3 linked regions of the Tribolium castaneum genome follow. The protein of the gene in region 2 purifies or fractionates together with the protein of the main gene of each other region. This does not show direct contact. Links are inferred from orthologs where the notes say so. Each region holds a gene or a part of one and is shown on either strand. Other genes may lie near its edges.

The links. Proteins that work in one complex are often made in the same cells at the same time.
Region 1: the proteins of mahj (region 2) and CSN6 purify together in Homo sapiens (affinity purification with mass spectrometry; 7 studies listed by BioGRID and IntAct, with this or other methods). This does not show direct contact. The link is inferred for Tribolium castaneum from reciprocal best matches to the Homo sapiens genes DCAF1 and COPS6.
Region 3: the proteins of mahj (region 2) and dual specificity tyrosine-phosphorylation-regulated kinase 2 purify together in Homo sapiens (affinity purification with western blotting; 5 studies listed by BioGRID and IntAct, with this or other methods). This does not show direct contact. The link is inferred for Tribolium castaneum from reciprocal best matches to the Homo sapiens genes DCAF1 and DYRK2.

Annotation. Positions count from the first base shown.
Region 1 is NC_087398.1:15,418,733-15,426,923, forward strand, and holds CSN6 (COP9 signalosome complex subunit 6), read left to right. Parts: upstream 1-2,972; 5' UTR 2,973-3,058; coding exon 3,059-3,263; intron 3,264-3,314; coding exon 3,315-3,446; intron 3,447-5,600; coding exon 5,601-5,752; intron 5,753-5,803; coding exon 5,804-6,163; intron 6,164-6,429; coding exon 6,430-6,570; 3' UTR 6,571-6,649; downstream 6,650-8,191. Other genes in the region: uncharacterized protein C9orf85 homolog, read left to right, coding at 2,139-2,699. UniProt on the Homo sapiens protein: Component of the COP9 signalosome complex (CSN), a complex involved in various cellular and developmental processes.
Region 2 is NC_087398.1:983,626-991,818, forward strand, and holds the start of mahj (protein mahjong), read right to left. Parts: upstream 5,381-8,193; 5' UTR 5,113-5,380; coding exon 5,000-5,112; intron 4,954-4,999; coding exon 4,803-4,953; intron 4,752-4,802; coding exon 4,614-4,751; intron 4,566-4,613; coding exon 4,438-4,565; intron 4,392-4,437; coding exon 4,216-4,391; intron 4,165-4,215; coding exon 4,088-4,164; intron 4,040-4,087; coding exon 3,504-4,039; intron 3,437-3,503; coding exon 3,298-3,436; intron 3,248-3,297; coding exon 2,749-3,247; intron 2,698-2,748; coding exon 2,588-2,697; intron 2,542-2,587; coding exon 2,262-2,541; intron 2,208-2,261; coding exon 1,861-2,207; intron 1,812-1,860; coding exon 1,693-1,811; intron 1,639-1,692; coding exon 1,405-1,638; intron 1,356-1,404; coding exon 957-1,355; intron 754-956; coding exon 669-753; intron 623-668; coding exon 413-622; intron 368-412; coding exon 8-367; intron 1-7. Other genes in the region: nuclear migration protein nudC, read left to right, coding at 5,689-5,772, 5,823-5,900, 5,948-6,286; uncharacterized protein LOC656652, read right to left, coding at 6,597-6,622, 6,675-7,011, 7,056-7,157. UniProt on the Homo sapiens protein: Acts both as a substrate recognition component of E3 ubiquitin-protein ligase complexes and as an atypical serine/threonine-protein kinase, playing key roles in various processes such as cell cycle, telomerase regulation and histone modification.
Region 3 is NC_087403.1:4,163,993-4,172,236, reverse strand, and holds the start of dual specificity tyrosine-phosphorylation-regulated kinase 2, read left to right. Parts: upstream 1-3,025; 5' UTR 3,026-3,467; coding exon 3,468-4,367; intron 4,368-7,716; coding exon 7,717-8,244. Other genes in the region: serine protease inhibitor 77Ba, read right to left, coding at 1-59, 108-199, 311-329. UniProt on the Homo sapiens protein: Serine/threonine-protein kinase involved in the regulation of the mitotic cell cycle, cell proliferation, apoptosis, organization of the cytoskeleton and neurite outgrowth. Functions in part via its role in ubiquitin-dependent proteasomal protein degradation.

The DNA of each region.
Region 1 (8,191 bases), about 14 Mb from region 2:
TGAAAAAACAATTTGGTAGAACATTCTGTTATTTTTACCGTTTTTAACGTCTAAGCATATTTTAAAACCAAATCTTTGGTTTTATGAGATTTTGTTACATCAGATGCGATTTGATCTCGAAATTTTACAAAAAGTAAGTCAAAAAAGTTTAATTAGTTCAATAACAGTGATTTTGTTTTGAAAAATCAGTACATTTTTTTTGTTGGAAACTACATCATTTCTGATGTTTTCGTGTGTTTTATAACGTATGTCAGTTAGAAATAATGATTTCGCAAAATTTTATCCAAAACGGGCGGAGATATTTCAAGTAAAGTTAAAAAATAATATTTAATTTGCCTTTTTACAGTGTTTAACCACGTTTTTGATGTGAAAACCAAGCATTAACAATATCACCAGAAAAACAAAAAACTTGTCGAAAATACATATTAGCTGTTTCGAATCTATAAAAATATGTCGCATTTTAGTTATTAATCATTAGATCTCTATCATTGAAAGTACAAATTGCATTAGCTATCAATATTTTGATATTTTGAAGTGCATGAATAATTTATAACAGCTAATTTTGAGAGAAAATGCGACGTTGCCGTTTTTATATTTTTCACACAGCAATAGTGACTATTAGTTTTTGAACAAAACAATTACTTTGAAAGTGGCGGAATTAGGTCGAACATGATCTTATTTTTTTGTTTGAGTCCATATTTATGTCATCAAAAAATAAACTGACAAAACCTATAAATTGGTAGAAAATGTATTATTTTCATCTTTTTCAATGTCTACCCCTGCTGTTTGAAAACTGTACGTGTATTTTTAGTTTTTTTAATGATATTAATTTAGTCTGGTTTGAAAGTCTCAGCATACACAATTTTCTCCAAAATTGTGTAAAGAATTAAGCCAGAATAACAATAAATTACTGGCAAAAATTGTGGTCTTGTTCTAAATGGTCGGTGAGTTGTGTTAGAAGTTGTATTACTATTTTTACTTTTTTTGATGATTGCGAGTTAGAAGAACTATTATTTCGCAAAATTATTTTGTTAAAAACAGGACGAAGATTTATCAAATTAAGCCAAAAATTATGTTATCAGATAAGTTTGCCTTTTCCCACTGCATAAGCAAGCACGTATTTTAAACAATTACAGAATTAGGTCGGAAGCGATATAATTTTGGTTGTATCACTCGATTTTAGTTGATTGTAATTTCGTCAAAAAATAAAACACAAAACAAAATTTTGTTCAAATTTTGTTTCAACTTTACCAGCCAACATGACCAGAAAATATATGTTGGTTGTTTAGGGCAGGGAGTAATTAAAATTTATAATTTTGCGACGTTTCGATTTTTTATTAAATCTTCATCAGACACTCCCTACCCTAAACAACCAACAAATCTTTCCCGTTTTTATAAGCATATTTTAAAATAAAATTTTTAGTTTACTGATCTTTGATCTAGAAATTTCTGTCGGATTTTGCCGTTTTTTTAAGTATTTTAGCATGTACGGTTTTCTCTCGAAATTAAAACACAATAGTCAATAATAATTAGTTCCTTCAAAGATAGTGGTCAGTCAGTTAAAAATCCAAAATTTCGTTAAAAACTGTTTGAAAATATTTTTTTTGTAATTTGCCGCCCTTTTGATGTTTCAATGGGCATCTTAAAGCACGCAACGTTATCAAGAGCGATGTCATAATAAGATTAAGACTCGTCTTATAAAACTTGTTTTTAATGTACTATAAATTAGGTCAAAAATGATGTTAAATTTGCCTTTTTACAGTGTTTAAGCACGTTTTTGAAGTAAAAACAAAGTTTTTTCAACAGTAGCGCCAAACAAATAACAACTTTGTCAAAAATGAAGTTTTCAAACTAAATTGTCAGTTTTTTTGAGATTTATTTTATTTTATTATTCTTTTTGTCATTTTCGAGCGTTTTGCTAAAAACAAACAGAAAATGAGAAAGTTTTGCCGAACATATTTTAATTATTTTTGCCTTTTTTGATTTTTATTGGCGTGTTTATCTTTAGGTCATTCAACAATTCAATAAAGAGTTTGAAATTGAAATAGGCAAAGAAATCAATAAAAATGAGTTTTTTTAACAAAAAAATTGATTAAAGACATAAAAGCCCATTTAGCTACGTTTTCGTTCCAGAAAAAATGAGCACCCAAAAAGGTAACGCCCAAAGGAGTCGCTCCCAAAAACATCAAAACAAAACCGCCTTCAAAAACACCCTCCACGACACAAGTCAACGCACGAAAAACATTAACAACATCCAAATCAGCGACGTTTGTGTCCGTTGCAAGGAAATAATCGAGTGGAAAATAAAGTACAAAAAATACAAACCGCTCACACAGCCACGAAAATGTGTCAGATGTGATCAGAAAAACGTGAAGAAAGCGTATCATGTGATGTGTACAGACTGTGGAAAAAAATTTGGTGTTTGTACAAAATGTTGTGAAACGAAAGAAGTTATTACAACAAAACCGGACGAAAAGGAACAACTCAAACTGGACAACGAAATGAAGAATTTGCTACATACGCTTCCGGAACGCAAACGGAGGACGTTTTTGAGGTACATGAGCAAAAAAAGTGAGGAAGATTCGACGAATGACGAGGAGAGAAAGGAAGATTTGAAAAGCAAACTCAACGCGCTTAAGATTGACGATGACTTGGACGACTTCAGCGATTTTGATGACGTTGATTCGTCGGATGATTAAATTTTGTAATATATTGGTTGTAGAATTTAATTAAAATAATAAAATAAAAGAGCGAATATTTTTATTTGTTGCACCACGTTCTGTCAAAGCGATCTTATTTGTCATTTCGGTTAATTATCTTGTAATAAATTATATGCGTCCTACAGAAATAATGGAAGTGATGACGTTAATTCGTCTAATGAGTAAATTTAATTAGGTATTTGAATTTAATAAAATTTGAGGAATATGTTAATATGTTGCGTTTAAGTTTGGCGCCACTTGTGACATTGACATCTGTCAAAGGGTCAAAGCGCTGTCATTTGTCATTTTGTTAGCGGTGTTATTTATACATTTTGATTCAATTTCTTGTAATAATTAATATGAGTACGAAAGAATCAATGGAAATGGAAGTCGATAATCCGGCTTCTGCTGATGTTGCAAATAATCCGGCGGAAGATTCGGAAAAAAGTGTGATGGCAGCTGGGGCTGTCGGTTCTGTGACTTGTTCATTGCACCCTTTGGTGATAATGAATGTTTCTGAGCACTGGACACGTGAAAAGGCTCAAGAGGGCTCAGTCCAACGAGGTACGACACCATTTACAGTATAGTTAGTTATTTATAATGTTACATTTTAAGTGATTGGGGCTTTGATTGGTAAACAGAAGGGGCGAAACATTGAAATAATGAACTCATTTGAACTGGTATTTAGTGTAATTGGAGGGGATGTTATTATCGACAGGGATTATTACAACATGAAGGAAGAACAATGTAAGTATGTACCGTGTGGTCAACGGAATTTGTAATCACTAATCAGAGTAGGGAAGATTTTTTCTGTATGGTTGGTTGCGTTTGTTGTAATTGAGACTCATTTATTTCTTCAATTTCATTGAATAAGATCTGTTGTAAATTATAATGAAGTTTAGCCAGACTGCAAATTTTTTGTGGGAGGTAGGCAACGTTTAGGGTTACCATCAGATTTTTTTTAGCTTTGGACACCACAATAAAATGACTAACAACAATAACTTACATTCTTATATTATCGTATTATCGTATATAAAATACTCTGGTAATGGCATCTTATTACCTGACTTCTCGTTTGTATTAAGAATTTTTACTTAGTTTAATAAAAATAAATTTATTTTCAAATAAAATATTACAAAACCAAAAAAACATTGCCAATAGTTTTAATAGTATGTACTGATACAAGAAATATAACAAACAGCATTAGTATAAAAAATATTGTAGTAATAATATTGTACAGAGTGCTGTATTTTGGATGTCGGAATAGGAGATCTCCGAAACTAAGAGATTTAGAGAAAAACAAGTGACACATTCTTGGGTCCGTTTTTTGAGAATATAATCTTGGTCTAAACCGCATCTTGCTATCGTTTTTTGTTTTCGACTTATAAACAAAAGTTGACATTTTAGTGTCAACTTTATACAGAAAAAGCGAAATGTATTTTTTTTAATATTTAAAAAGAATGTATTACACATCAAATCAGAAAAAAATTAGCTTTACAAAAATATTACAGCCTCCTATAATTCATATTTAAAAAAATAAAACTTATTACAGCTAAACGAAAGGTTAAAAAAATCGCTGATAACATTTTTAAATTCTCTGTAAAAAGTGCTTGTATAATGTTTGTGTTTCAAATGTGTATCTTTTATAATAAGGAAGATATATATGATTTTTTTTAAGATTTCGTTAAAATGTCAAGTTCTGTTGATAAGTCGAAAACAAAAGATGATAGCGGGATGCGGTTGACCAAAATTATTTTTTAAAAAAACGGACCAGAAAATGTGTCACTTGTTTTTCTCTAAATCTCTTAGTTTTGGAGTTCCCCTATTCCGACATCTAAAATGCAGCAGCCTGTACAATGAGTGTTAGAATGATTCACATCTAATCATCTGTGAATTTCTCATGTAAAAGAACATATAACTAATGATAGGCATTTAGACATTGAATATTAACATTCTGTATTTATTATTTCAAAGTTAACTAGATGAGAATCATTTAAAAACACATTGTATAAACAGTAAACCACCTTTCTGCATCATTTTTTTTGCAAAACTATCCGGTATCCTGTTTGCAAAATGTAAATTCAATTTTTAGAAGTTGTATATCTACATTTTTCCAATTCACTCCAAGTTTTTTTTAATATTCAAAGTATTTGTTGGAAACAACTAGATAGTTTCGAATTCAGAAAAATTACAGATGGAATTAAGCGTTCTATCGCAGAGTTTTTAAAATTGGTCGTTAATTTTAATTTTAGATACAACAAAATTTAAATTACCCTAAGAAAACTGGACATTTATTACAAATTAACATTTGATCCGGATACCGGACATATCGTCTAATATCCGGATTGTATTGAGTGAAAACCGGACAGGTGGCAACTCTAACAAGGTTGCTATAAACTGTAAAGTATGGATACAGTAGCTGAAAATTTTATAAACAGTAAAGTTCATGTAAATGCGGAATAATATTTTTCTGACTCCTGTGAGTTCGCAGTAAAGCGATGGCAGTCCATTTACCGAATACGGTGTATATATTTTTTCATTTTTTTTTTTATTAATTTTTCTCAAGTTTTGCGCTTAGTTATGACAATTATTCGCCTTTCAAGTTAAGACCTTTGGTTTTTCTGGTTGTTAATTGTGAAATGCTGCTTTGCCATATAGCGGGAAATTTAAATGTAATTTTTTTGAAAAGGTACAAACGTTTTTTGTCTGTTTGACACTTTTAATAGATCTTTTATGGTACTCTAGCTGCCAAAATCAAATTTCGCAAGGGAGTGGTTCACCAGAGAGCGCAGAGATCTTGGCTTGAAAGGTGAATACAAATAATAAAAATAAGAAAACTACTCTTATTGTAAATTCAAACACTAGAAAACACAAAAATTGTTTGTTAACAATCTATTGCAGTCAAGCAGGTGTTCAGTGACATGGATTTCATTGGTTGGTACACCACCGGAGACATCCCCAACACCACTGACATTAAAATCCATAAGCAAATATGCGACATTAATGAATCTCCAATTTTGCTTAAATTAAATCCCTACGACAAAAACATTGATGTTCGTACACAGGCTGCATTTTAAGTGTTAGTTTTAACATAATTATTTTAGCATTTGCCGGTTGCTCTTTACGAGTCTGTAATTGATTTGATTGGGGGCGAAGCAACAATGTTATTTGTTAATTTGTCTTATACTCTGGCAACCGAAGAAGCAGAAAGAATTGGAGTAGATCATGTGGCGAGAATGTCTTCAACGGACTCAGGAGAAAGCTCTCTTGTTGCAGAGCATTTGACAGCGCAACACAGTGCTATCAAAATGTTGCATTCTAGAGTTAGGCTGGTTTTAGAGTATATGAAAGCTGTACAAAGTGGACAGTTGCCTACAAATCACGAGATTTTACGAGAGGCTTATTCGTTGTGTCACCGATTACCTGTTATACAAAGTGCAAGGTTTCGACAAGATTTTTATAATGTAAGTATTTTTTGCACACGTAGTTTTTAGTTATCTGGAAAGCAATTTTCCACATTTTTGGCCGCGACAACTGTCATTGACATGTTTGCTCGTCGAAATATGAATTTATCGAAGAACTGTCGTCGGCCAAAAAGTTTTGTACGTTAGGTATTTTACAGCGTTCAGTTTTTGTCAATATTAAAACTTCACGCTGTGAAATTAAACCTATCGCACGTATAATGTAAATAAATAACTATTGTTGTACTTACTGTCACGTGTTTTTACAGCAATGCAACGATGTGGGCCTTATGACGTATTTAGGGACTTTAACAAAGGGCTGTAATGATCTCAACCAGTTTGTGAACAAATTCAACATTTTGTATGACAGACAAGGACTGGGCAGGAGGATGAGAGGAATTTTCTTTTAATTCGTAAAAAAAGCAATTTTATTTATAACCCTCAGTTCTGTATTAAAGTTTCTATTAAACAATCCTTCCATATTACAAATTGTCTTTTATTGTATTTTGCGGCAATTTTTATCAAAAGAGCTTATAAAAGGCAATGATACTTGTATAAAAATTTTGGGAAGACTACAGTTTGTAATTTCTTCTTCACTTGAGTGGTGATTGTGTGCGGTACAGAGAGATGTTTGTGATTTTTATCACAGAAGCAATTTTTAAATAACTGTTATTAACACAACACGGTGAATACACAAAAAATCTCCCTGTTTTTACAAAATATTTGCTAACTGCTGCTTCTAAACCCCACATTAGTATAGAAGTGGTTTTTTTACACAATGATAATCTGTTAGTTCCTCTCCAACAAAAATATTTTCAAGATGGCGGCCCTTTGGCTTTATCGGAAAATCATATGTATACAGGGTGTCTCAAAATTGACGCCCGTGCTTTTAGGGTTTGCTTCAGAAAACTAAAACAAATCGAAAGCTGGAAAATTGTCTGATTGTCCTTCGTTATCGAGTTATTGATAAGAAACTAAAATTTAGATATTAAATTTTATTAAAAGCGAATTTACTAAATTTGTTGTCACAAAATAAGCTACAATGCGATTTAGAAACTTTTCCGTATATGCCCTAGCCTCTGCAGCGGCATTGCCATAATACACACCTGTAACCGAGCTTTTAACAATCGACAAATCTCGAATGTAATAATGTAGTAGTATCGTATCATTTTAAACATACAAAACCGAAAGAAATTAATAATACTCCTCACTAGACAGAGTGATTCAAAGAATTTTAACATCGCTAACGTCAACTAATGAATTATGTTCCACAAATAATTGGTAAGACATAATAAGCTTATTATTTACATTTTTCTCAATAACTCGAAAACTAAAGGCAATTGGATTTTTTTTTACTCTTAACTTTCGATTTGTTAATACAATCTAGGTAGTTAATACCTAATACTAGGTAGTTAATACTACCTAAGTCAAATTCCCAGCGCACGGTCGTCAATTTTGAGACATTCTGTATATGTTATTTAAATATTTATTTTAAATGGAAAACTGACTATTGCACTTTTGGATTACGGATGAAGTTTTTATCAGCTATATCTATACCTCAGTTTAGCCGTTCTTGAGATATTTACACTTTTTAAAATTTTGTTTGGAACTACACCAGTCCACTTCAGAAATTCCTTTTTTAAAATTTTGCATTTTGATATTGCAAACTGATGAAAAAAATCGGAATGTTTGAGAAAACTCTGATATGAACAAATGAATGGTTCAGTTAATTCAATTTCTTTTAAAAACTATAAGGTTTTTTAACAATAGCTTATTATTAATCATACAATAATCTACGATATCCGAAAATTTTAGTTCAAATGGTGGTTTAAAACATCTAAAAATAATAATTCTTTGAAACCTATCAAAGTCAAAAACGAACAATTTTTAATTTAGAAAATTGTCAGATTTTGAGAGTAGTTTTTGGCGTAAACGTCTAGTCTGGTAGAACTTTATTAAAAAGTTCACATTGGAAAAAAAATTTGAAAAATTTCTTTCCTAATAGAGAGACACCGCCATTTAAATTTATTT
Region 2 (8,193 bases):
TTTTTACTTGTTCATCCTCATCGTCTCGCTTCCTCCCGACATCATAGATCCGCACCACGGACTCTTGAACCGACTGGTAAACCCCCTGATTCTCCACAATCACAATTTGCGTATCGAACCGATTAACCGCCAAATCGTAGATGTTTTTCTTAACGTCAATAGTAGCAATACTCGAGTAATCGATCGCATCCACTGTTTTAAAACTCGAATCGAATGTCGAGTCACCATTATCCAATTCCTGTTCCATCGAAATGGCATAAATCGCACTATTGACCGGTGAAAAAACGGCAGTACGTTGATTCAAAACTGGCACTGTTTTCAACAAATGAAAAGTTCGCACATCCCAAACCTCAGTATTTGATACAATCTACAATTAACTATGTATTTCCCTAAGCAAAAAAAGCGAAAGTACCTCTAAGCCGTTAGGGTGGAACACCCCACTTTGGGTCTGATTCAACTTATCCAACTTGTGAATCTGTTTGCCCGAATTGACATCGAAAAGCACACCATCTGATAAAACCAAATCATCGAACGGGCTAAATGTGGCTTTATTTCTAGTGTATTGGTTACTATCTGTAGGAACTAAACGCAAGATTGATTGGCCCGTGACGGCGTCGTAAATCTAATTGAAAAAATTATAATTTGCCAAACTGTGAAGTGTTACTCACTGTTGCAACTTCAAGTTTAGTCGCCACAATCCGCTCCTGTGTCACTTTACTAAACTCAACATGTTCTTCATCGTCCAGCGCAAACCTAAACCACAAGTTAGACGCTAAATTCGCAGAACCGAACATTTCTGGTCATCGAGTGGTCAAATCAGACCACCAACTGTATGGTTTTATACAAACGGTTAAAAAAATCGCTTTGCGAGTTGAATTAATTTTTTAGACAATTGTTTTTGATATTTTCGAGTTTCGCAAAAAAATTTTAAGTTCGACTTAAAGTAAAAAACTTACTTCATCTCGGAGTTCCTTATGGCCCAGAGTGCGGACAGAGGCCGCCCCCACGTGGAACTCGTCAACAGAAACTCCCCACTCCTGTTAGGCTCCAAATGAACGATATAATTATCGTGCGTTTGAAACATAAACTCTTCATTTCCAGTATGCAGATTAAAAATTCGTATATCACCACTGTAATCACCCACGATTATGCTTTTATCACCCGGTAAAAATTTCGCACAAGTGAAGAAATCGCCATCGGACGACGACCGAATCGTTTGAACTGGACAAAATCTCGAATGAATAAATTTCCGGTCCATAGACTTGGACTGATACCCAATAGCACGTCGCGCACACCTCACCACAAAATTATTGGCTGAGGCTATCTTTGGTTTAGGGTCTGGGCATTTATGTGGACTAGAAAACACCATCAGAAACACAACCAATCATAGGAGTTTAAACTTACATAAAGAGATTGAATTTGGGACAGTTGGCCATGGGGTTTTTACATAACGCATGCTGATTGGTTAAATACTCGGTTATGATCGAATCGAGCGTGACTCGGGGCTGTTCGGGTGGATTCGTCGGTTCGTCAAGCAAGCTCTGACTCGGCACCCTAACTACAACATCGCTATTCGTTTGTTTCTGTAATCGGGAGTTTTGGACCGGTGGTGTCGCGACCACTTGATTTTGGTGTTTCCTGAAATTTTTTCTTAGCAAAAAATATGATAATTATCTACAATGACGACCATACTTTATTAATTTAATAGCAGGGGAAGTACAGTTGGAACTATTAATAAACGATGTCTCCTCCTTTTGCACTGGTGACTGCGGTATTGTGCGGTGTTGCATTGGAGTGAAATTTAACTTAAGCTAAGACATTTGTTACACTTAATTATAGCTTTGGTGAATTGCTACTTACCCTAGATGGTGTTAGAGTGGACGAGTATCGGAATTTGGTTGGTTGATTTGTTGAAATGGGCGTGACTGAGTTTCCCAAATTTGCTTCCTTCACTAACATAGAGGCCGTTTCTGGACAACCTTTCGTAATTAAATGTTGGTGGATGAGTTGTAACAATTGCCGATCATTGAATTGAATTTTAGTCTGAGCCACAACGTTAGCTCTATGTATGTTGGCTAAAGAAACTTCCAAGTCATTTCCCCGATGTTTCGTTTTCCCCGAAAGTCGTTCCAAAAGTTCAAGTGCATATTTTTGGAAAGTCACATGTTCTTGGCGTTTTTCTTGCAAAATTGGGTCCCTCATTAAATCTGCAATTAAGTCAGTTGTTACCCCACTCGGATTCGCCTCGTATCAAGACTTACTCTGCAGTTGTCCGCTCGTAAAAAGCGGTAATTTTGACACGATCTGTCGGACAGTTTCCGACCGTGCTAAGCCGGCCAATGCTTTACAAGCCAAAGTTCGTATACAGTCCGCATCAGTGATTGGTGTTTTAATATTCATTAATTGCAACAAAACCATAATACCACTATTAGACCTGACACAATCCCAAACTCTCTGAATCAATTCTTCGCTACTTTTGAGTTTAATTTTCTTAATTGGGCTGTTAACCGTGGCCGAATATCGGGTTAAAGTACCACCAACCTAACAAAAAAATCAAACAAACGTCTGGAAACGGTAAAAAACGTACCCTATTTATGGGGGCACACACACAATTGACAATGACTCGAAGCGCAGCCTTTTGTACATCAGCATCGGCCACTATTTCACCCTCAGCGGCCCCCAAAATAATATTAATCCCTACAGAAGAAAAAAACAATAAAAAATCCCAAAACTGTGATTTTCTCGTACCAACTGTGGCACTCTCCTCTGGCAATTCCACCCTATCACAAAATAACAATTGAACTTTAGGCATCACACACGCAATAGCCAACGTATCCAAAGCCGACCTGACCGTCTCAGCCCTCCCACTATAATTCCACTCATACGCAAACGCGATTATTTTCAACAAGAGTGTGATTCCCCCTAATTTGAGTAACTGATCAACTGGCGTCCAATGGCACCGAAACGGCATATATTGCAACAACGTTTCGACGTTCTGTTGCACCTCTTCAGGCGATGACTTGTACGGTTTGTAGCTCGGCTGCGCCGGTAAAGGCGGCTGTGCCATTTTTTCGTTAAGTCTAAGTTGTGATCTTTTAATTGGTTCTACTTTTAGGTTTAGATGAGCTTCAAGGTAACGACGGTATGCAACACAAACGTGGCGAACGATTTGACGAGCGGCGCACTCTTGATCTTCGTTTAGTTGAGTCGTATCGGTGTCCGGCAGTAAAATTGATAAAGTAGAAATCTGTACATATAACTCTAGCAAACAATTTTTTTTACTTGGGATAAACTTACCACATTGTGTAACTTTCGTAACCCATCATGAGCATCAAATTCCTCCAAAATCACTTTGAATTGAAACGTGAGACCGAAAAACATTATAGCATGACATCGGCCCGAATCGTGTGAGCATTCCAAAAGCCATAAAGCATACCTAAGATTTTTTTTAAATTATGAGTTTTAATTGATTTTACAAACTGTAAGGTATAACTTAGACTTACTTGACTAAACTGGTGATCATGTATTTCGGAAGCAGACAAACCCTCTCCATTGCCTCCTCACAATACCCCAAATAGTACAAACAAATCGAGACCCCAGTGGCTGATATTGACGGCCTTGGCACCTCCAGAAGTGCCTCAAGACCATCCATTTGAATAAACTCAATCGAGAATTTTTTGTGGCATAAAAGAGCAGCAAGATATTTCAAGGCTTCAAATGCAAGTCTTGCTTCTTTAGTCGCTCGGACATTCACATACTTTAAGACCAAACTAAGAGCGTCATTTTCGAAAACATGACTCAAAAACTCCTGATATTCACCCAACGGTGTCAAATAACGTAAAATGAGTATTTGACGCGTTGCTATAGTTGGCGGAAAAATTTGCACGGTTCCAATCATAAAACTTTCAAGCTCTGCCCACGACGAATTGCTCGTTTCGTTAAATAGGAAGGGTTTTTGAGGAGAGCCTTCATCAGCTTCGCTTGAATTGTGCTCCAGCTTTAGTTTTTTGCGTTTTTGGCCGCTTTCCGAATCTGATAACTGTATTAAACGTGAGACCATATCACGAGGAGGAAAAGGCGCGCTTACCTCACTAGTGTTAATCACATCAGTGTTTTCTTTATTAAGTGTTGTTTTCGAATTTGGAATAACTCCATTCTCGCGGGCTGTAAGAATAATTATTGAAGGGTAAAATACAATAGGGTGTCGTTACGTACGCCTTTTAATACCAGAGGGTGAAACTTTTACGACACCGTCACCGCGATAAGGGGGCGACTTCATTGAAGATAAGTGTGCAAAAGGTCGAGTATTTGTCGTGGTCAAAAATTCCGAGGAATTTTGAAGCCTACGCAGTCTTTGAAGTAGTAAAGGCACAAGTCGTCCGTTTTGTTCCCTATTTTTTGGTAATTAACTGCGATAAGACCAAAGCGGAAACTTACCTAAAACGTGTGGCAATTTCTGGAATTTCCATTGCAGCAGCTAAAAGCCCCGTTGCGTAACTTTGCAGAGGTTCTATTGAATTTGTAGTCCATTTAATTAAACGGTGAATCAAATTATCCATATCGGGCTGAAACTAGTCGTTAGTTTTCCCCCCAAAAAAATAATTGACACGTACTTGAAACACCACTGATGTCTCTAAGCCAGGCATTACGTCTAGCATCAACCTACAAGCTGCAATATTCAACTGATCAACATCCTTGTCTGTGATTCCTGACCGAGAGTAGTACGTTTCTCTCAAATAATCGTTAACAAGCTGAAAAAATATTTATGTGTGTCTTTTTATGTTTTTGTGGAGAGTTAATACTTTGTTCATAAAAATATCCTTCCTAAAAAGCGCTTTTAAAATTTGGCCAAGTTTGCAGTCAGGATCAGTTCGTGAAGGGTGGCGTTCATCAAATGGGTCAGGATCCATTTTCAGGTAATTTTCAGTCTCCACCTCGCATATTTCGGCCAATCTGCCAACAAAAGGGTAAGAATTTGCCAAATTAAGGCAAGATCTACCTGGTGAGTGTCTGAATGGGGTCATAATTAGGCGCCGTATGTTCATCTTCCCAGTTTCTTATCAGAGTTGTGACTTCTGACATAACAGAAGTCGAATTGCTGTTTTCCGACATTATTGGCTCAAAACGTTATAAAATAAAGGGCATGAGGTAGTTTAACATAACCTAAAATACTTTACAGTTCCGTAATTGCAAGGTGAGATAATTAGGACACCGGGAGACTGGCAAAAACAATGCGATAATGTGAACTCTACACTTCTGGCTTGTAAAAAATCGTAATCAGTTTGATTATTTCACAAATTGGCGCAATACACATTCACAAAGCGCAAAACACAATTCTTGGCTTCCATTGAAAAATCGAGCACGTATGTTACTAAAAAAGTGCCGCCAATGGTACAAAAAAAAAACAGAGCTAAAATAAACCCTTGGGAAATTTAACGAATAGGAAATAAGCTTCGCACTATCGAAATATACACCCCCTTTGCATGTTTTAATTTTAATTTGAGGGTGGTCCCCGTTTGGCTAAAATTCCCACATTCGGTTGACCCATCAATGTTGGTACAAGCACCGTTTTTGGAAGTTTTCACGCCGATTGGTTTGGTTGGTACAATTGATATTTGGTCGATAGAAGAAAAGTCTAGCAATTTCCACGATTTTTGACCATTTTTTCACGAAAAAAGTCCAGTCAAGATGAGTGGCGATGATAATCAGACTGAGCAATTCGATTCCCTCTTCCTGTCAATAGCCCAGCACCATCCGCACGGCGCTTCGCAGGTGAGCCTCGATCTGTTTACTCTAACCTTAAAATCACGACAAAACTGTAGTTATTGGACACTTTTGTGAGTTTTCTAAGCCGCAAGACGGATTTTTTCACCGGGGGCGAGGAAGGAGCATGGGAAAAGGTAGTCCGGGGTAAAGCCAGTTCGAAAAATAATGACCTGGTTTTTAGTTAGTAATGAGCACATTTAGGAAATACGAACAAGTTAGTCGTAAGAAACACGAGACGGAGTTAAAAGAGCGTCGGGAACGTGAAGCCGCCAAAAAGAAGAAACAGCAAGAAGAGGAGAAGGTAAAACCGGCGGAAATCACCGAATTGACTGATGCTGAGGCTGAAAAGTTGCAAGCCGAGTTAGATGCTAAGAAAAGTGGGGTGAGTAATGGGGCCCCAGCTGTTGAGAAAATTGAAGAGGATGAGGATGCCTCAGAGATTGGGAAATTGAAGCCAAACAGTGGCAATGGATGTGATTTGGACAAGTACAGGTGGACGCAGACTCTCCAAGACGTTGAGGTAAGTCTTAGTTTTGTAGAAAATTTATTTGTATAATTTAATTAAAAATCAATTTACAAGATTTCCAAGGAGGTTCGGGACCTGCCTTAAAATTGTTCATAAATACTATACAATGCTGTAATGATTGCTTTTACATATCACAGTAACATCAAAAAATACTTATGGATAGCTTATGATTTAGAACAACCACAATTTTGGTCCAGTTGCTAAACCTAATTAAATAGGGAATTAAATAACTAACTACGATAAGTGCGCACGACATTTCAATGCTTCGTCAATTTTTGGAGAAATGTCGATGCTTGTCCTAATCCTAGTACCGTTGTCTTTTCGCCCTCACTGAAACAATAAAAAATTGGAAATTGGCTGAAATGAAAGCGGAAGAACTTACTTTCTAAGAGAAATATCGCCGCCAAGATCCCTATGGTAAACAAAGCGGACATCGTCAAAACTAGAATCGTCAATTGGTGTTTTCGACAGAAACTTCTTTGCCTGACCACAGGTCTCGTGTTCATATTAACTACGGTAAAATGCATCGAACTTGCCACTGAAACAGCATCTGGGTCTGGTTTCTTCAAATCGTTAACAGGCAGTGCTATGTGATCATTGTTGTTTGTTTGTTCGAGGTAATACTGAATGTTTTGTTGTCTGGTGTTTTTGTCCGTGTCCGGATTTTGTATTTGGGCCAGATTTGCTGCTGTCAGTAGTAACGAACCGGACCTTGCACTCTAAAAATCCAATGATTTTCTTGTCTTAATTTTTTTATTTGTACCTGTGTGCTATTATTGCTAGACGTCGAACCCTGCGAACTCTTTGAGCTTCTAGCTAGTGTGGGTCTGGGGATGTGCCAGCTCTTGTTGAGCTCTGCCGGAGTCTGCAAAAATCAATATTAATGTAATAAAGTAAGTGGTTATTTAATATCGAAGGTCGCGTATTTATTGTTAATTCATCGCATTATGCAAGACGGTAAGCAGGTGTCAAAACGAAATCGGTACATTCTCGTACCGTTCATAAAAATTTCGGATTAATTTATGTTAATTCTGATTTCGGCCTCGTTTTTTATTAATCAATGTACAATTTCCTTATTAAGCCCGTGTTTTTTTCATTGAGCGCCGAACGTGACGCTCATTTTTATTTTATAGATCGTGTTTGTATGACATTTTGTAATAATTGGCTTTGTTGGTAAAAATACACATTGTGGCATTTTATTGTTTGATTCGGTAGCATTGAATTTAATCACCCGCTTAATAAAAGCTGGGAAGATTGACAAGTAATCAGTGAAACACGCTAATACATTTTTATCTCGGTCACGGCCGCCGTTTGTAGTCTAATTTTTCACTAGTGGCCTTTTTCTCGGTATTCTTCCGATGATTTTCAGGCGATAATGACTGTAACCTCTCTCCTGGAATTCGGCGATGTTTTTATTTACGTCTTCTCACAATCGAACCGTCCTTGCTTCAAACCATTAATATTTGTTTTGACACATTCCGGATTCTGCTCATTGCAAGTGACGACATTTGTGGATTTTCTTGTTGCATCATGTTTTAATCACTTAATTCAAACAGAGACGCGTGCTTGGTGCTTTTTGGTAGTCGGAAGAATATTGAAACGTTCAAGGGTACAATTCGGACGAAACAATTGGAAGATAAATTACAAAGTTTCAAGTGAAGGTTTAGCGACCTAAACTTTATAGGTTTATGTAAATTGCAAGCGATTAATGAGTGCGGTATTAATCAACATCAATTAACTGCGTTCGAAGGCGACCTCCACTGCACATCTCAGTAGACAATCTAGATATTCTAATTTATTGAATAGTTACTATGCACGAAACGAATCATTATCACCAACAATATTTATAATCATCCTTTCTCCCGGGTTTGGTGAAATTATTAGAGCGAGCATTTCGGCTC
Region 3 (8,244 bases), on a different chromosome or scaffold from region 2:
CACACTGTGTACGGAGACAGTGCTAAGTTCCGTGGACTTCTCGGTTCTTTACTGGTAGCCTGACATCATTAACATAATTAAATAAATAACCAAGGTTATTAACTCACCGCTAGTAAATCGATTGCAAACGCATTCGACGAGTCGCTGATACTTTGGGCCTTAATGCAAAAAATCACCGTCGCCCAGATGAAAATCGGTACTAAAATATTCGATTAAATGTAACAAAGGATCGTGTAGATCGCGTCAATAAAACGTTCAAGGTGAAACACAATAGAATAACGTGAACTTTGCTGTTTCGGCAAAAACTTACACTTTCTCTTCAAATCCATGTTGTTGTTGGTACATCAGCAACTGCAGTGCCTTCCTCACAAGCGATTAGAAAACACTGGATGCAATTAAACTCGTCGGCGGTAATTTGCGTTCAACTCGTTTTGTGAAGAAATTTTGATATCCCCCGAGTTAGCGCGGTTGACCTTTATCTGTTAACTATCCCGTTAATATTTTTTCCTTTTATAGCACAAATTTTAGTGTTTATCCTAATACTTACGCACGTACACAGCCAGAACGTCTTACCAGCTTGTTAAAGATATTCATTGGGTTTTTCCCAGCGACTTGAATCTCGAACAGTTCCTTGCTTTTTCAACGAAGACGGATTTATATCTAAATTTAGTAACTGTTGATAGGTATAAATCAACTCATTGATTTACCAATACGTAAATCAACTCGAAGAACTTATTAGTAATGTGTACCTATCGGTTTCCCATTTGGCTATCCCTCTCTTGAAACCATCAACATCCGGAAACTTGTTTCAAATAAAAAAATTGATGTCACTCGTTATTGTATGGAGATATGACTAGTCATTTCATACCATAATTGAGGGAATTAACAATCAAATAGCCACTATTTGCAATATTATGTAAAAATAAATCAGCTTGGAGCTAGTTCTTGAAGCGAGTTGAAAAAAATATTTCCTTGATTTTTCGAAGGTAGGTAAGTGGGTTCGTAACTATCAAAACCGTAAAAATTTTCAATCAACTTTAGATCGTAAAATTATTTCAAATATGGTTTTCTACAGACGTAAATGTGCGATGATGTATTTTACAACACTCTAGGATAAACAGTTTTCGAGAATAAATCGTTTTAAATTATTGAGACAAGTTAAAAAGTTACACATATTAGATTATAGCGGAATTTAATTTTTTTCACAATTTTATCGATTTTCAAGATGGTTTGGTTGTACGATAATGACAACAATAGAAAAATATAAAGCAGATTTAATTCGTTTGATCAAAAATCAACCCTCTGGTACAGGACTAATTACGATATTTTTATTTTCTGGTTAAGCAAAAACTTTTAAATAAAAACCATCTTTGTCTCCACTTGAAACCCTCCATTTTTTTGGTGATTTTGTCAAGACGTGTCTTTTTTAATGACAAAATCGCGCTTTTCGGAAATGACTGATTTTTCAAATTTTTTTCGGCATTATTTTTTTTCAAAGTTGGCCGTTTTGAAAAAAAAGAACTTTGCGTGAGTGAGAGGCTTGATACGACATCTGTAGTTTGTCCATCAAAACTACACAACTAAAGGCCGCTTCACAAAACAATTAATTAATGTGACGTAAGTAGCAACTTAATTCGAATTAATTTATTCTTGAATTATAAGTTTTAATCCGCTTTTTTTAAATATTTGCATTCATATTTTAATTCGCGTAACAATTTAATTTGAGTTAATTTAGCATTAATAAATCGATGAAAGTCCATTTTGGATATTGCATCTTAGTTGGAGAATTGTTCGGCCCCCACTGCGTGCATTCGTGTCTCTTGAGAAATTAGCTACGCCAAAACCATTAGAAGATTTTGTAATAAAATAACCAACAGTTGAGTTGAAGCTCAACTAGAATTCGCTTTCTGGTTGGGAAACAAAAATTTGAACCCATTTATTGCGTTTACTTTTATTGTAAAGTAAATTATTTGCGAATGAAAACAATAAAATGTCGGTTCATGTATCATTGCACTTGTAACGAAATTGATTTGTCGATCGAGACGTCTTAATTGATTCGCCAAGCAATCACATTGCTGAAAAACTGGTTCTGCGGCGATGTGTGAATGCAATTGCAGGGCCTGGGCCAACCCACTCGCATCTCCCAAACCACTTCCCTGATAGTGGGGACATTTCACCGAATACTCCACCAAACAAAGCGGTCAAAGCGTCAAAAGACGCACTCTTTTCGTCTTTGTGACACTCATAAATAATAATAATAATAAATAATAAGATTATGTATTGCTGTAAAGAGCACTTTTGGCACAATTATAAGACAAAATATTGTTTTATATCCGATTTTGATATTGTTTTTGATTAAGTGGATATTGTATTGCTGGTTATACCTGCCTGTCTATACTTTGTAATACGATTACCTTTTGTTCTGAAAGTTTTGTGTAATTCAATCGGCTTCACAGTTGTTGATGCAGTTCTATATTTCTTTGTTGTAGAAAAATGAAATCGTAAAATGTATGATGTGATTTTCTACGTTCCAATGTCGGCCAATACACAATAGAAAATAGTTATTGAAAAAAAGTTAGTTTCCAGTGCAGACATGCAATTAGTCACGTTGTCTCATCATCGCTTCCTGGTAGTGAAAGTTAATAACATCTGATAAGAACTCGCAGATTATCATCCACACGATAAGCTTTGGTGGTTTGAAATGTAGTAGCAAAGCAAATCATTTACCACCTGCCTACTCACGAAATTATCTTTTAATTTGTTTTAAATGTTTAGGTACAGTTAAGTTTCGAGCTTTGAAAATACAAATATTATGAGAAATTTTTGGTTTTTGTTTTCTCTGTATGAAATTATGATTTTTATGTGAAAGCACTACAAGTGTGGCATTGTGTAGTGATTTCGATTATATTGACGTAATTACGCCGGCTGGCATAACTTTTGAGAAGTCAATGACCCTTAATTGTTGAGTCAAGGACGAACTGGCGTGAATATATTTTTCGGAAGGGTTTTGTGAGGGGTGGAAGTGAATAAAGTGGTGAAAAAACGTAAAAGTGTTTGTTTTCTGTTTATTGTGTGCAAATGATTGATAATAAGCGGAGTAAAAAAATATTTGTTTGAAATTTCGAAAATGGGCGGCTCTAACTGGCTGGGATAGACCAATGGTGTCCGGGTAAATTTGAGTCGAGGAGGGTCGAAGACGGCCGAGAGGTTTTGTGCAGGCAAGCAGCGCCACCAGTTGGAGCACTAGCACTAGATCGGAAATATGGCTGTAAAATAACCAAAATCCCTTTGTTATAGTTAAAATGTTTTTGTATTAAAGTGGAGGCCAAACGCGTGTCGCTGGTGGTTGGCGGCTCAGGATGTGGAAAAGGGTCCAGTGCGAGTAAGTCCGTGTATTAGTTAGTGGTGCGTGCTAGTGATGGTTGGCCATCAACCTCTGGGCTTGGGGAAAATGAAACGCGCTAGAGATGTCTAGCGCTGCAGTGGCCAACTCGTTGAAGATGCCGATGTCCCGCACCCAGCTGTTCTCCTCGCACTCGTACCTGGCCGAGGGGGGCGGCCTGCCCCCGCTGAAGCCGGCGGCGAAGGAGCAGAGCCCGCCCGCCGCCGCCGCCCCCGGCGGGCTGCCCGAGCTGCAGGTGGTGGGCTCGTGCGCGCTGCAGTGCATGCAGCCGCACATGCTGCGCCCCAAGGGCTCCCCCGGGCCCCCCGACAAGCACAAGACCATGGTGGCCACCCCCGACCAGGTGATGAAGCTCTACATGAACAAGCTGACGCCCTACGAGCACCACGAGATCTTCAACTTCTCCCAGATCTACTTCATCGGGGCCAACGCCAAGAAGCGGCCCGGGATCATCGGAAACCCCAACAACTGCGAGTACGACAACGACCAGGGCTCCTACCTGCACATTCCCCACGACCACGTCGCCTACCGCTACGAGGTGCTCAAGGTGATCGGGAAGGGCTCCTTCGGCCAGGTGGTGAAGGCCTACGACCACAAGAACCACATGCATGTGGCCCTCAAGATGGTCCGCAACGAGAAGCGCTTCCACAGGCAGGCTCAGGAGGAGGTGCGCATCCTGGAGCATCTCCGGAAGCAAGATAAAGACAACACGATGAATATCATACATATGTTGGATTCGTTCACGTTTCGTAACCACATGTGCATCACTTTCGAACTTTTGTCCATCAATCTCTATGAACTTATCAAGAAAAACAAGTTTCAGGGCTTTAGTCTACAGCTAGTACGCAAATTTAGTCATTCGCTACTACAATGCCTTGATGCGCTTAACAAAAACAAAATTATACACTGCGATATGAAACCGGAAAATGTTCTGCTGAAACAACAAGGAAGAAGTGGACTCAAGGTTAGTACAACCATGCTACACCCCCCAAATTCACAACAATGCCAAAAACTCACATCCACGTGTGGGTGGAACACATGCATTTCAAAAACTACAAAACAAACCTAACAGTTTTAGTTTTTTATTTTTATTCATATTGTGGGGTTGAAACTGGGCTAGAAATGAAATTGTACATTTATCAATTTTTTATCGAAATTTAATTCGGATTTAATGGACAACAAAGACTAACTTTACATATCGCACATCCGGAAGAGAGGCAAAACTAATTAATTATTAAAAATTTCAAATAAATTTGCCGGCTCATGGCTGCAATATAACTATATCTTTCGGTTTTATATTACGAAAGATAATTATTTAATGTTTGACATTTTTGCACGTGCGAATGTTCTTCCGCAGGTGCGATTAATTATCGCAAAAATATTCGCATAGTTATGTGAAGATTTGCAAAATTGGCAATAACACTTTTTCCTCTGATAACATTTACCATCAGAGATTAGGTAAGTATTTAAAATGTGCACACTCACGGGGAAATTCGTAATCTAAATCTTCGTCACAGAAATGTAGGAAACTGAGGAAATTGAATAAACATACAGGGTTGTTCTAATAATAATAATAATAATAATAATAATAACTCTACACGTAGTAAAAAAAACACGTCAACAGATACATTAAAATGACAACCGAAGTGGTACTTAAAATCTACAAATTTTGGAAATTTTTTTGAAAACACACGATACAAAGTATTAATCTATGAGTTCTGTTCGTTATAACCGGGTCCCACTGTAATAGTTTTGGGAACTGCAGTTGTCGGAGGATAATTGCCAGTAGTTTGGAACATTTATTGATGCTCAAAAACTGATCGAGTGCAGATATGGGAAAGCATTGCTATTCTATAATAAATAAATGGGAAGTGTGGTAAAAAATAAATCACTCTTGATTTTGTCTGAGCCAAATAAAGCGTAACTCAACATTATCCGTAACTACAATCTAGCAATTGAAAGACTATAACTAGTTATTAACAATAAGTCTGACTTCCTGTTTGGTCCAGGTATTTATTATCCTGTATATGCTTCACATAGACTGGTCACGATATTTGATGCATCGTTGCTTTTTCATTATAGTTGTAGAAATGGTGGTTTTTTGTCACTGAATACAATAGTGAAAACAAAGAAAAACATGTTCTTACTGAGACAAAATTAAAATTAAACGCCAGAGGAACTGTGCTACAATAAATTTAAACTCGGCGACACTAATCTAAACTTAGCTTTCTAAACAAAACAATGATTTCTTGTTTTGGTTAATTGATCAGATTAGAACGTGATGAATACCCCGATTGTTTTGAATATAAGGCAAACCGCAAGTTTAATACAATTTTATCGTATTCAGTTACCGAGTGCAATATTCGCCAATATCGATCGGTTTTGACAAGAGCACTTTCTACGAATTGATTGTATCTCAGCGAAAGATTGTCACTCTTGACAGCCATAAATTTGGACTTTATTATTTTAGAAACTGCACTTAACCATGAACAATGTGTCTTAAGTTCAACATACCTAACTATGAAGCACTTAAGTGGAAAGAAATCTACGACAGCGTCTTGGACAGGTTTTCGGCTTTATTTTATTGTGGCCTGTTCTAAATCTTCAAAGTGCTTTATTGTGGGTAACCCACTTCTATAAAATTTGTCATAAATCGGTTTAAAATTATGCCAAGGCAATACTATGGCAAATATGGATGCAATCCATTGTGAACTTGTGTTTATTGTTTGCAAAATTCTGCAATTGCACCTACATAAACATCGTTTCGTAATATAAAATATTGCCCAATTTTGGGATTTGATGTAGATTAGATAAAATCTGTTTCTTATCAAACAATCAAACTAATCACAGTCAATATGGAAATATTCCACTAAGAATCGGTTTAGAAGCCTCTAGAAGCGCGAAATGTCATTATTGTTATTATAGCGTGTCTGTTTTTGACACATTTGCATAATATTGCATGCAACGTTCAAATATGCAAACCACAATTATTATTTTGACGTATCAATACACAGAATAGACGCTTCTAATGGTCAGGCTTGCAAAACACTATTGATTTAATTTGTTTTTTTATAGTCAAGCATAATACTAATTTTAGATATTTATATTTTCACCTATCACGAAAGCGCGTGTATGTGACAACCGAAAACATTACTTTATAATGTGGTGAATTAAATCTGCCAAACTTTTGAATGAACCATTTATTAAATTAAAAATAATAACAATAACGGAATATTCAAATACATATTTTGGTTTTATTGTTGACTTATAATTTCAAATTGTTCTAATTTTTTATGTATGTGTACATAAATAAATAAAAAATGTATTATTTCTTGAAACAAGAGATGCGTAACACCGTCATTATTAGTTGCGTTCCAATGAAAAATGGCGTCTATCCTATTATTTAATAAATTCAGATTGTGCAAGTTTATTTATATTATGAAATTAATACAAAGAAACTATTCTGATTATTTTAGATTAAATTTTCTTATAATGATGCGTATTCACCTTTTATTTCAAAGAAATACGATTAATTGAATTAACGAAATGCTGCTCTTTGTGTGATGGATTGAAAATATGCACATCATTTAAGAATAAAATAAAACTACTCACGTAGCTTGGACTGGAAAAAGTGTCCATTTGTCTCGATATAAGTTTGTGCAGCGCTCGATTAAAATTGTTATTAAATTTATTGTTCTGTTGTGATTGCCATGGTAGAATAATAAATATAATCACAATTTCAATAGAGCTCGTCACGAGACTGGTAAATATTTTTCTTTGGTTAGTTAGAGGTTTTTGCGATTTCATCAGTTGTTTCAAATGATAGGTAGGTATACAACTAAAGCAGTACTTATGAAGGCATTTTTTTATTTAAAAACATACATTTATTCTTAATTTTTTTTAATTATTACCAGAGTATACAGTGGAGATATAAATTTTGCTTTCTTATTCTCCGATATTATCGGAGAATTGGATCAAAAATCCAAGTTTATTCCTTTTTCAAGGCGTTTCAGTTTGACTCACAGTTTCCACAGTTAAATCTAAAAAATAGTTAGGGGATTAAATTGTGGATGTCGCGATGTTATTTTTATAAATATTTTTAGTGGATCTTTGTATTCAGACTATACGTTTTGTTGTGTGTAGGGAAATTCTTCCTAGGTTTATTTTTAATTTTGATAAATTTGAAACTTAAAATATTGAAATGGTTCCAAAAGAATTAATTTCGATGTCAATATTTCAGCGCGGCGTGAGTTTTTTGTTTTGTCCAACTTATTAGCAATTTTTTCCGCCTCGCTTAATTTTTGTTGTTGCAGGTGATAGATTTTGGTTCCTCCTGCTACGAACAAAACCGCGTGTACACGTACATCCAGTCCCGTTTCTACCGCGCCCCGGAGGTGATCCTGGGTGCGAAGTACGGCATGCCAATCGACATGTGGTCCCTCGGCTGCATCCTAGCCGAGCTCCTGACGGGTTTCCCGCTCCTCCCGGGCGAAGACGAGGCCGACCAGCTGGCGTGCATCATGGAGCTGCTCGGCATGCCCCCGCAGAAGCTGCTCGACCAGTCGAAGCGCGCCAAGAACTTCATCAGCTCGAAGGGCATCCCGCGGTACTGCACGTGCACGACGATGCCCGACGGCAAGGTCATCCTGAGCGCGGGCATCAGCCGGCGCGGGAAGCCGCGCGGGCCGCCCGGCTCCAAGGACCTGAAGCGCGCGCTGAAGGGCTGCGACGACCCGCTGTTCCTCGACTTCATCCAGCGCTGCCTGCAGTGGGACCCCGAGGTGCGCATGACGCCGAGCGCAGCGCTGCGCCACGCATGGCTGCGCCGCCGGCTGCCGCGG